Linked DNA regions of Oryzias latipes. Each later gene encodes a partner of the first gene's protein in a complex. Links are inferred from orthologs where the notes say so. Each region holds a gene or a part of one and is shown in the gene's direction. Other genes may lie near its edges.

Region 1 (4,372 bases):
TTGTTCCAAATTTAAACTTCTGTTCCAAGTTTGATTGTAAGAAATCACTGTCAGCCCATCTTGAGCATGGGAGGTCTTACCGTTCACTTCTTAAAGTCCAAAGGTTTGCATTAAAGACTCAATGGATTTCTATATGGACCTGTAAAAAGACAAAAACGTCACATTTTCCATTTTGCACATTCAAAGGACAAGGAAAAAAGCTGATATACTACATTTCTGTGGTATAAAAGTATCAATTATTGCTAATATTTCATATTTAAGATTGAAAAAATCTATTTTGTTGTTTCCCCTGACTGATTACACATTACAGACTACTGTTTTTTATTTTAGATCAGATACAAACACTAAATATGGGTGAATATGAACTTGTTTCACTATTGATCAAATGTCAGTAAATTATTTTTCCGATTAACAGATGATTTTCATGAACCCAGTTTTATGGGACAGCACGTAGTAGAGATTATATATCAATTTAACCTGGGATTAACTGACTATAAGAACAAAGGTTCCCTATCGAGGCCCCCCAACAGCTGTTGTTGGCATGGTGACAAGCTCACCGTGACCGTCAGTCTGAAAATAGTGTGTAAACATTTACCTGTAATCTGACGTTAAACACCATTGAGGCTACCAAGTAAAAGTAGGGGAATCGTATTCTCAGCCGCCATGCGAGATCAAAAAATATCAACAAAGTCCTCGTCAAGCCTTTGGAGAATAGTCCGTAAGTCCGACCAGCGGAGCCCGAAAACCGGAGCACCAGATACGAAAGACTCGCCATAAAAGCCCAACCCTGAGCGCTGTGTTCTTGGCTTACAAAGGCAACAGGCAAGGGGACGCTACAATGGCTGCAAGTGTTGGATGAAGCTCCATTCTTCTATCTTTCACCCTCAACGAGCTCCGTCTTTTGCTGCCGTTGTACTGGCATCTACTCCACCCTGTTAGTTTTCTACCGAGGACAGACATCGCTGCGACACACGGAAGTGCAGTAAAACCAGGATTAAATAAAACCCCGAGTAAAGACTGAAAGGACTTCCAGATCTGGGTGGTGGCTAAGGAAAAAAAAAACACGTCCTAGACACAACTACTATGGTTCTCATAAAACTAAACAAACAGAAACATAGAAGAGGTTTTTTGAGTTACTAAATATGTATATATGTTGTTTTTGCACCATTACAAAACCAGGTAAATTGGTTTGTTTTCCAGAAGTTCACTACACAAAAAATCTTGAACTGAAGCAAAGTACTACAGACTTTTTGGAAATACAATGACCAACTAATCATTGATTGTGTTACATTTTTGAAGCTAAATATCTTTGTCGTATTAGAATAGGCACACATTGACTTTTTTTTTCTTTTACTACTTTATTTTTTAATACAGTGCATGTTTGCTGGTATGGTATAATTGAATTTATCGTGGTGTAGGGGTGGGAGAGCAAGCTATCCTTCCATCTCCAAAAAAACTTTTTCAGCCTGAAAGGCATAATTCAGGGAAATTAAACAACACACCAAAAATTCCATTGTAATCGTAAATGAACCGTAGACGCGTCAAAACTGACGTCAGTTCCACCCTAGGTGTCACACCGTAAATATTCCGTCTTCGACGATTTCTTTTATTTTGTTTTCATTAAACCAAAATGTAATATTTTAGTTTTCAAATGTTATTTATATATAACTTTAAGCTTTATATTTAAGACCAGAGTAGCTGACCCTTTTTTTTACTACTAGTTTGAGGCTATCTTTTCTTTGGTTAAGGTGTCTGTGGGCGTGCGCCGGATGCCCTATCTTGTAGAGCTGGCTTCATTTTTTTTTCTCTTTAGCTATAGGGGTGGTGGCCGCTGTTTTGCTCCATAACTCATAGAGCAGCTCACGAAAGCATGGGAATGTTGCCAGGGAATTTCTGAGTTTAGTTGACCTAAAGTCCGAATTGAGTCGCCGCAACTTTATTTTCTAACAAGCCGTTCTCCGTTTAGAAAGTTTTGAGTTAGCGCGGTCGACTGTTAGCAAAGACTGTTGGGTAGTTTCACTTGAGAGGAGTTGCGGACAAAGGACAAGCTATCCGAGCTAACGTTAACTGGCTCTGGGCTAACTTAGCATTCCTGTAGCTGCGGCGCAATGCAGGCCATAAAGTGTGTCGTTGTTGGAGACGGGTAAGTTGAACCTAACTAAACTCACTGTGATATTTAACATTTAATCGACAGTTTTGGTATCAAACCCTGAAACCGCCAGTGATGTCGAAAAGTTGTCATTCGACATAAATGTTGCGTCTTATTTTTGGAGTTGTAAAGTTAGCCAAGTTATCGGTTAAATATTGGACTTTCAAGTTCTTTTCTTTTTTTTTCGAAATGTACAACATTTTGTATTGCATTTGTTTTTCCCCTGATATTACCGTTCTGGATCCAATGTTCCAGATTTTTTTATTTATTTACGCCAAAATCAGTGAATAGAGTTAGATTGATCTTAGATTTGTTTTGAAGTTATTTTTGAACAAAATGGGCAAAAATTATATGTACTTTTTCGAAGAGTTGAAATTTGTTTCTTCTTCTGTTGTATTGACACGGGCGTGTTTTTGTGTTACACAATAGTTAAATTAGTAGGTTTAGTTTGCAATATTTTAAAGACAGGATTGTCAATGAGCTAATATTGAAAGTCTGACTGATGTGTAATATGCTAGAGGTAAACACACTTGTAACGTCTTGTCGAGGGTGCGGCTGGTCCCACCGCAGCGGAGTCGTCCCTCGACCTCTCCGACTTTTGTTTTGTTTTCCGTTCCGACTTGAAGAAACTCTAAGGCACCAGTTCTCTTTAAAGTTTCAAAAGTTTAAAATATCTGCTTACTCATCAACTAGCCTGGAAGAGAAAAAAAAACCTTATTTCCTGAAATCAGTGCACTCATTCTATCAGGAGTGCTTCAATAAAACTGACATTACCTACGAGATGATAATAAATGATTAACTGGCAATTATTGATTTTTGATATTGGATTATTTTGATCCTGCTTTTATCCTACGGATGATAATGTGACTCTCAGACTTCCTCCTTTCAGTTTGTTAAAAACCAAACTTTGCGTAGTGTCCACATTTAACTTGAAACTATATTTTTAATGGTTGTAATTATTTCAAGTAACTTTGATGTTATTAAATAAAATGCTTGGACTGTTTTTAGCTTTGTAAATGTAAAATAATCGAACAACTTAAGCCTGACTTTAATGACAGCTTGTATATGTTTTATTTTCCTGAATTCTGAACATAACATTTCTCTTATTCAGTGCTGTGGGTAAGACATGTCTACTCATCAGCTACACCACCAATGCCTTTCCAGGAGAGTACATCCCCACAGTGTGAGTGTTTATTTATTCATAATGGCTAAGCTGTCTGTCATTCTTCTTCTGGACAGTTGTTGCTTAACTGTGTCTTTGTTTCATTTCTTCAACTGGTCTTATGGGGGAATATTAGTTTCCTTGTACATAAGAAGTCACTTTCTTTTTTAACAGGCAGCTGTTTGGGTTCAGAGAAGCATTTGTTATGTAAAATTACCAGAAGTGCAACCAGCTAGTTTATTTTCTTAGTTGTGGGATCTGTGGCTTTTTGGGAATTTGTCACTCAAAACACTTTGGTTCATTCTGATTATTTATAAATGTACATTCTGCTTTTATTCTGATTCAAGAACAAGCTGAAAACATGTACTGCTGATGAACAAGGCTTTGATTTTTGACCCCCAAAAAACCTGTTTGATTTATCTAATGATCATAGAAATTCAGAAATATGTAGCAAGGCTTGAATGACATAACTGAGTTTTTATGAATGCTTGATTCTCACAGGTTTGATAACTACTCTGCCAATGTTATGGTGGATGGGAAGCCGGTGAACCTGGGCCTTTGGGATACAGCTGGACAAGAAGACTACGACAGACTCCGCCCACTTTCTTACCCACAGACGGTACAATGACAAAAATAGTCAGACAAGGTGTTATTTAGTTGATAACTTTTATAAATAATTAATTGGGAGCATTTGTGGTATTCAAATGTAGAAGAGGGTTTTAAAGAAAGTTAAACAGACCACCTTAGCGATAGGTTATTTATTTTTATTTATTTTTTGCTCAACAGGAAATGAATTTCATGGACTCTGAACCTTTTTTGTCTTTGTCTTACAGGATGTGTTCCTCATCTGCTTCTCTCTTGTGAGTCCGGCCTCATTTGAAAACGTCCGTGCCAAGGTTAGTGGTGCCTGAGCAAAAAACACTAATAATACAGATGTGAACACGTTGACTTTTTTAATGTTGGTAATTAAAATACAGACCTGTGTTTTTTCATATACAGTTTATTTTTATTTTTTTGTAAAAAAAAAAAAAGTGTATTTAAAGAACAATTTCAAGAGATGT
Region 2 (4,238 bases), on another chromosome or scaffold:
AATTGCACCTATGCACATTTGCTCAAAGAAATAGTGTGCCTTGAAATGAATTAGTATTTTTATTATAAAAACATATGTGGCAATAATGTAAATGGCATTTTGCTTGTTTTTTTATGTTTCACCTCTCCATGCCTGAATTTATTTTCGATAATATAAAACTATTCTGTCTTTTATCCTTTCAAAGTGATGATGCTACCTTAAGTGGAGTTCTGGGTTAAATGGTACTTTACAAAGTAGTAATAGTAGTACAGAGTAATTAGCTGGGATTAATATTTGTTATATATATATATATATATATATATATATATATATTTGATTAGACTTGCATAGGTGTTTCTGTTGTATTTCTATGCTATCACACTCTTATTTCCTGTTCGCCTTTAGCTCCCTCAAAAATATGTCACAAAGCTGCTTTTATTTTCCTCTGCAGCTTCATCAAAGGTCTTCCAGTCAAGAGTGCTGCCGTCTCTGAGCAGCTGAAACAGAGTGTTGGCTTAGAACCCATGCCAAAGGGAATAAGCTACATTATTAGCACCAAGGTACATACAAATACAGACAAAGAGGATGTTCTTTGAGCTGCAGAGTGATTCTTTTTTTTGGTCATACATTCCAGGCTGGTCCAGGCCCCCGGGTTGTGAAGGATCCCTCTCTACACCTGCTGTCACCTGATGGCTTTCCTAAACTATAAGACATAAACTTTAGTTCTTTGAAAGTAGCTTTGTTTTTTTTTGTTTTTTTACGTTTACAGATTTATACAGTTTATTATGGAGCCCCTAAAGGGACATGGAGGTAAAAAAAAAAATAATAGTATTGGTTTCTCATGCACACGAGAAAAAAAACCCAGTGTGCAGCACAGCAGCTGATCAAAGCCAGTGCATCCCCGGTACCAAAACAAACTACATGACTTTAGAACTCGTTTTAGGTGACGTTCAGAGGTAACATAACGGTGACACCAGGCAAGCAAAGCTAAAGTCTTTGTAGGGGAGTCCTAAGAAATAATAACCACTTAGTTCCTCGTGTGCAACAGTTGGTTTATTGTGCGCATGAGAAACCAGTACAATTTCTTTTACATCTATGTCCCTTTAGGGGCTCCGTAGTTTATGCCAGCATAGAAGCAAAATAAATCTTAATTTCCCCATGTAAACTGTACAGTGCGTCTTCTAAGTCACTTCAAATCACGAGTTTTTAGGTTCTATTCTAAATAAATGTTAAATGTGACAGCAGCTCTTGTGTCTTCTGATTTCTTACATCATTGTCAGTAAGCTTGTTCCTTTTACTCGCTGTTAGAAAGAGATGTTATAGTTGCATTGCCTTAAAGATCTTGTATTTGTCAATGACATTAAACCTGGGATAAATAGTTTGTAAAAAATATTTTAAACTTTATTCAATGTGGCCTTTATTGTCCGTTTCATTATGTGAGAGAATGACACACAAATCCAGATGAAGGCATCAGTTAACAAACAGGAAAAAGTTAGAAACTAAACGAAGCTATTGCTTCCTTGCCAGGAAGAAAAGGGTGAAACTTTATTTAATGATTAAGTGAAATTCCTCCCTGGCCTTGCTGCACCTGTCCGGTGGGTGTTGGCCCCGCCCTCCTCCCGGGAATCCCGCATATTTTCGGAAACGACGGGCGAGGCGGGGCTGCGTCCCGCCCGCCCCGCCCCGCCCCGCTCCTCCCAGCCGCACGTCTACGGGCTGCACCTCCTCTAAAGCGCGTCGTCTTCCTTGTGCAGGCTGCAGGGTCAGGTGTCGTCGCAGGTAGAGCGTCGTAGTCGCGTCGTTTTTGGGGTCAGCACCATGGGGAGAATAGAGTGGGCCATGTGGGCCAACGAACAGGCTCTGGCTGCAGGCCTCAGTGAGTATACAAAAGATTTTTTAAGTGTTAGTATTTGCTTTTTGTCAGGTCATGAAATAACTAGGACAATTAACACTAGAACAAATAGCTCCATTTCTGTATGGTAATTCCAGTTGCAGAAATAATGTTCATCTATAGAAAGTAAAGGTGGATTGTTGTCATTAATGCTGTTTTATTTTTTTACCTTCCTGTTTCCTTCTTGTAGTTCTTCTCGCCGGAGGAATTGTGGGAGTGGCGGGGCAGTTTAGAGGCTGGGAGTTTGCTTCTTATGCTATGTATCCTTTACCTTATTATAAGAAGTGTATTGGGATTTAGACTCTTTAATACAGTTTGCACTCTGGTTCATGAGAACCAAGTGGCGCATGCGCAGGGTTAACCTGGAGAGGTTTCCCCGAATTTTAATACCTGAAAGTGTAAAGCCTCATTCACCTTTTTTTTGAAGATAATGTATATCATCCCATCTGAATATTTCAATATTTGTTTTTATAGTCTAACTACATTGTTTTTTTTCTGTGTCTTAGACAGATGAGTATTAGTTCATAACACAACTTGTGTAGTATCCGGTACACACTTCCTTATTGTGCATGTTCAGTAAATGCAGGTTCCTCCATGAGGTTTTTTTTTCTTTTCCTGTTCATCTAAGTTAAGATTTGATTTTTTCACCCAAATGTTAAAAATCATCCATTTTATGTAACCATAAAGTCCAAAATCTGATAGATTAAATTAAAAAGTTTGTTTTGTTTGTCAATTTAGCACATTTTAGTCTTATATTAAGCACTATGTGTGTTTATGATGATGATGTTGAAGTGATAACAATAATTAAAATGCCTTGACTGAAATCAAGTGCTGCTGGGGTCTTTGTGTGCCTGCTCGAGTATCCCAGGAGCAAAAGGGCCAAGGGTACGAGTGTGGAAAGGACGTAAGTTTCCCTGTAGTCTTACCTTTATTACATATTTCATCATCAGCACGTATTTTCCTAACTATTATAAGGTTTTTTACTCACTACTCATTTTCTTTCAGGGGCCAGTACTGCTTCACAGTGTGTGTAAAAGCCTTCGGACCAGTAACAAGAAACTATTATGTCAGAGCGTTTCTGCATGCAGCGTAAGTAAGATTTGAATTCTAAATTTAGAAATTCATTTCAAGCAGTCAAAACAAGAAAAAGTAAAAAAGAAAAGAAACGTGAGAGAATAACATATATAGATTTATCAAACTTAAGATCATGAATCCTTATTTGATTGGAAAAATTTGAAGTAAAAGAGAAATATTTTCAGATACATATTTGATGAAAAACAGTTTAATTAATGTCTTGAAAAGAAGTTGAATAAAGTTGACTTTGTGGTTCTGAAACAATGCCACGCTTGAATAAGTGGACTGTTTTGTGTCAATCCTTCTTTTGCCAAACGGCATTCTTTCCACTCACTAACAATAGGCTTGTGCCATGACTGTGTTTGGTCTTAAACCCTTTTGTATTTCTCTTTACAGGCTTTGTGTACCTGGAGGTTTTATGCTTGCCACAGTTTTAGGATGTGTCTGTCTTGGCATTGCCAGTCTCATCTATCTGGCAGTAAGTTGTTCAAAGCTCACCAGTTGTCAAATTTGAAAAGTGTGTTGTAATGGCGGGAAGTGGTTAGTTTCTGGAAACAAGGAAACTGCAACTTAGAAGTTGTCCCATAGTGGTGTCTCTGTTGAAACATGACATACGTTATTGCAAAACATTAAACGAAGGTGTGACTGAATTCTCCATGAGTTTCAAAGGTTCAGATGTAACACGGTTTAAATTTAGGTTTATCTCCAATTTTGAGTAAACAACATAGTCACTATCCTTTTGTGGCAAAGCATTGACATTCTCCTGCTATCTAGGCAGCTGTCCGAGGTGAACACTGGGAACCAATTCTTCCTCGCAAAGATACTCGGAAACCTGTTGCTGAAAGCATCAAAAGTCCTCCTCAGAACCCACCACCACGACCTCCTCCAGAGATACGCCGGAAGCAAGCCAAGGATGTGGAGGGAGCTGCCTATGACAATCCCATGTCTGTGACAGATGACGAGTAACTGGACCCCCCTCACAGAATGGTGGAGGAACGGTTCGCTCAAGTTAGTGACCCTGGAGAAATACAAGAAGCTGAGATCAAAGAAAAAAGTTGATATGATCAAAAAGTTGATATGATCAAAAATATACCACATACGGTAGATGTAAATGCTGTAGCTGCTAGTTTGAAAATGTAAATATACTGTTGTCAGTTTTAAGTACTGTATGTGTTAGTGTTTACTGTTTGGAAAAATATTCAAAAGGTCCAAGTCAATATCTGTTTCCTGTTCCAGCGATCATAACTTTTATAAAAGTTTTTATATTTTATAAAAGTGATCTAGAAAAATGTGT
Region 3 (2,518 bases), on another chromosome or scaffold:
CGATACCCTTTGTGTGTCTATTCTTCATAGAGCCTTGGAAGGTGAACCCCACACTGTACTGTTTGAGTTTGTTCCTGAAACCTGCGACGAGCTGGCCGTGAAGCCCGGCAACATGGTGTTCGTGCTGCAGAAAGGGGCAGACAACTGGGCCTATGTCATCTTCAATGGAAGAGTAAGAATGCCGTATGCACAATCTGTGATACTTCTTGAGAGTGTGTGCATCATTTTTTTCCCCCAGATTGTGTGTTTAGTAGAGAACTGAGTGCTTATTCGTGGTTATGATTACAGACGGGACTCGTACCGTACAATTACCTGGAGCGTCAGGAGATCTCTCTGGCTTTAAAACAGAAAAAGGTATTGGTACTAGGGATGCAACGATTCACTTTCTCCACGATTTAGCACAAATTTTGATTTTTTTTTGGGTCACAGTTTTGTGTCATTTTGATATAAGATTTGTTTATAAAATGACAAAAAACAAAAAATTTGGACAAATCCTTTTTTTTAATTTGGTAATCAGCGAGTTACAATGAAGTGAAAGACTTCACTTGGCTCATACTTGGGGTTGGGGTAATGTAACAAAACAATAAATACTAGGATGTATTCAGACTGGAGAAGTTAGTTGGTCTAGACCCAGTTTGCCTAATTTGGTCTGGATCAAGTCCTGAACCTTGCATTTGGTCTGTACTCAGATGGCTTTTCAGCTGGAGATTTGTTTCGAACCAAAGCTTGTAAACAAAAGCATGTGATTGAAAATCTCTGCAACCATTGGCAGGACACAGCAAGGAGATAAATAATGAAAGTCCTACAATCCATGTCGGATTATCCAAACTTTATATTTTGCTGAACAATTTTGAACGTCTGTGTCGGAGGCTGCAAGATAACTGTTTATGACACAGATTGTCGGGAAACACTGTGAAAACAATGTGTATCACGTTAAAAGTTATTTTAATGAGCTAAAGAGTTGCTCATTAAATTTAATGAGTTGCTGCGTCTCATCGTCGCTCCACAATTCTCTGCGGCTCATCCGTTTACATCCTGTAAAGATGAGGTAGCCGTTTAGGTTCAGTTGTTCTGCTCTGAATATGGAGTCTATTCAGACTGAGAAAAACTCCAGAAATGAGTCTGATTGGAAATGAACTGAAACCACCTCGAAAGACGGATCAGAGAGCGGTTCCTGGTCCAGGATCAGGGTCTGCTTGCCAGGGTCCTCAGAATGAAACTTGAAATGAACTCTGGTTCTCTTCAAGTTGAGCAAATGTTTCCAATCTGAATACAGCCTGAATGCTTTTTAAATTTAGCACACTTGTTGAACACTTTTAACCTAAAACACTGGTATGCCGTGTTCAACGATTCACTTTAATGGTTTAACATACGGTTTGGTTTCTGATCAACACTTGTGGCATCCCTAATTGATACACAATATTTATATTTTTTATTAAAAGCTCAACTTTGACATGTGGAGTAGTTTCAATCTTTAAGTATCCTGATTTCCTCTCAAATTTTTGCGTGTTGTTGAAAATTGCCTTTAATGGGAATAACTGTCACCAGGGTTTGGTTCCAACTTCAAGTCGAGAAGCACCGAATATACCGGAGAGGACTCGAGGTAGATTTTATGACACACAGGCTTTAAAACATTCTCGTTTCCTCCGTTTCTCCATGTTTGATCTGGTCTGTTGCCGTTCAGGTCTCAGTTCTGGGAACGACAGCAATGGAAATGAAGAGCAGACGGTACGCTGAGACAAACCCAACAGTCAGTGGTCCTCATCATAAACGCCTCGTTGATCATTCGGTTTCCTTTCAAATCCAAGGTTCCAGACAGTTTATACATCGTCAAAGTTCACTTCACATTCACCTTTGCTGTCTCAATACCACGTGAGTCTTCCTATGAAGTGCTGATAAGAAAAATAAGCAAGAAGGTGAAGCTCCCGTCAGACAACATCTCCTTAAGGTAGAGCCATCATTTTAACCCCAAAACTGACACCTTCCATTGATCCTCATCTTTGTATGACAAAAGTTACCGTCGTATTTTGGCTTCAGCTTAGATTCAAGCGGACAACGTGCGATTGATGCAAACACAGACATGGAAACGGTGTGGAGCCAGGTCCGTGCCGGGCGCATCACTTTGTGGTGCAAAGAAAAGAAGGTAAGGAAGTGGTGGCGGCGCACAAACCAGGCGTTTCTGTCAACATCACCATTAAGCAACGAGATGCAACTGAAAGGAAGTTTGGACATCATATTCCTGTTTACTGAGAACTTTTGCTTCATCAGTGTGAATGAGTTCACATGTATGGGGAGGCCGTGGTGCAGCGGTAGGGCGGTCGACCCATGATCGTAAGATTGCAGGTTCGATTCCCGCCTTGCACGCCCACGTGTCGAAGTGTCCTTGGGCAAGACACTGAACCCTAACTTGCCTCTGGTGGGAGGTTGGCGCCAGTGTTTGGCAGCGGAGCCGCCATCAGTGTGTGAATGTGTGTGTGCATGGGTGAATGGGACTGTGACTGTAAAGCGCTTTGGGCTT

What was found.
Region 2: ras-related C3 botulinum toxin substrate 1 (region 1) and cytochrome b-245 light chain share a complex: the UniProt entries of both Homo sapiens proteins name them as parts of the phagocyte NADPH oxidase complex. The link is inferred for Oryzias latipes from reciprocal best matches to the Homo sapiens genes RAC1 and CYBA.
Region 3: ras-related C3 botulinum toxin substrate 1 (region 1) and ncf2 share a complex: the UniProt entries of both Homo sapiens proteins name them as parts of the phagocyte NADPH oxidase complex. The link is inferred for Oryzias latipes from reciprocal best matches to the Homo sapiens genes RAC1 and NCF2.

Annotation. Positions count from the first base shown.
Region 1 is NC_019866.2:11,732,826-11,737,197, reverse strand, and holds the start of ras-related C3 botulinum toxin substrate 1, read left to right. Parts: upstream 1-1,560; 5' UTR 1,561-2,108; coding exon 2,109-2,143; intron 2,144-3,260; coding exon 3,261-3,332; intron 3,333-3,812; coding exon 3,813-3,930; intron 3,931-4,144; coding exon 4,145-4,207; intron 4,208-4,372. UniProt on the Homo sapiens protein: Plasma membrane-associated small GTPase which cycles between active GTP-bound and inactive GDP-bound states.
Region 2 is NC_019861.2:22,090,584-22,094,821, forward strand, and holds the start of cytochrome b-245 light chain, read left to right. Parts: upstream 1-1,387; 5' UTR 1,388-1,797; coding exon 1,798-1,855; intron 1,856-2,060; coding exon 2,061-2,130; intron 2,131-2,699; coding exon 2,700-2,774; intron 2,775-2,875; coding exon 2,876-2,959; intron 2,960-3,340; coding exon 3,341-3,422; intron 3,423-3,718; coding exon 3,719-3,910; 3' UTR 3,911-4,238. Other genes in the region: mvd (diphosphomevalonate decarboxylase), read left to right, coding at 431-539, 614-688. UniProt on the Homo sapiens protein: Subunit of NADPH oxidase complexes that is required for the NADPH oxidase activity that generates, in various cell types, superoxide from molecular oxygen utilizing NADPH as an electron donor.
Region 3 is NC_019878.2:10,708,052-10,710,569, reverse strand, and holds part of ncf2 (neutrophil cytosol factor 2), read left to right. Parts: intron 1-30; coding exon 31-172; intron 173-288; coding exon 289-354; intron 355-1,548; coding exon 1,549-1,603; intron 1,604-1,684; coding exon 1,685-1,728; intron 1,729-1,808; coding exon 1,809-1,948; intron 1,949-2,037; coding exon 2,038-2,143; intron 2,144-2,518. UniProt on the Homo sapiens protein: Subunit of the phagocyte NADPH oxidase complex that mediates the transfer of electrons from cytosolic NADPH to O2 to produce the superoxide anion (O2(-)).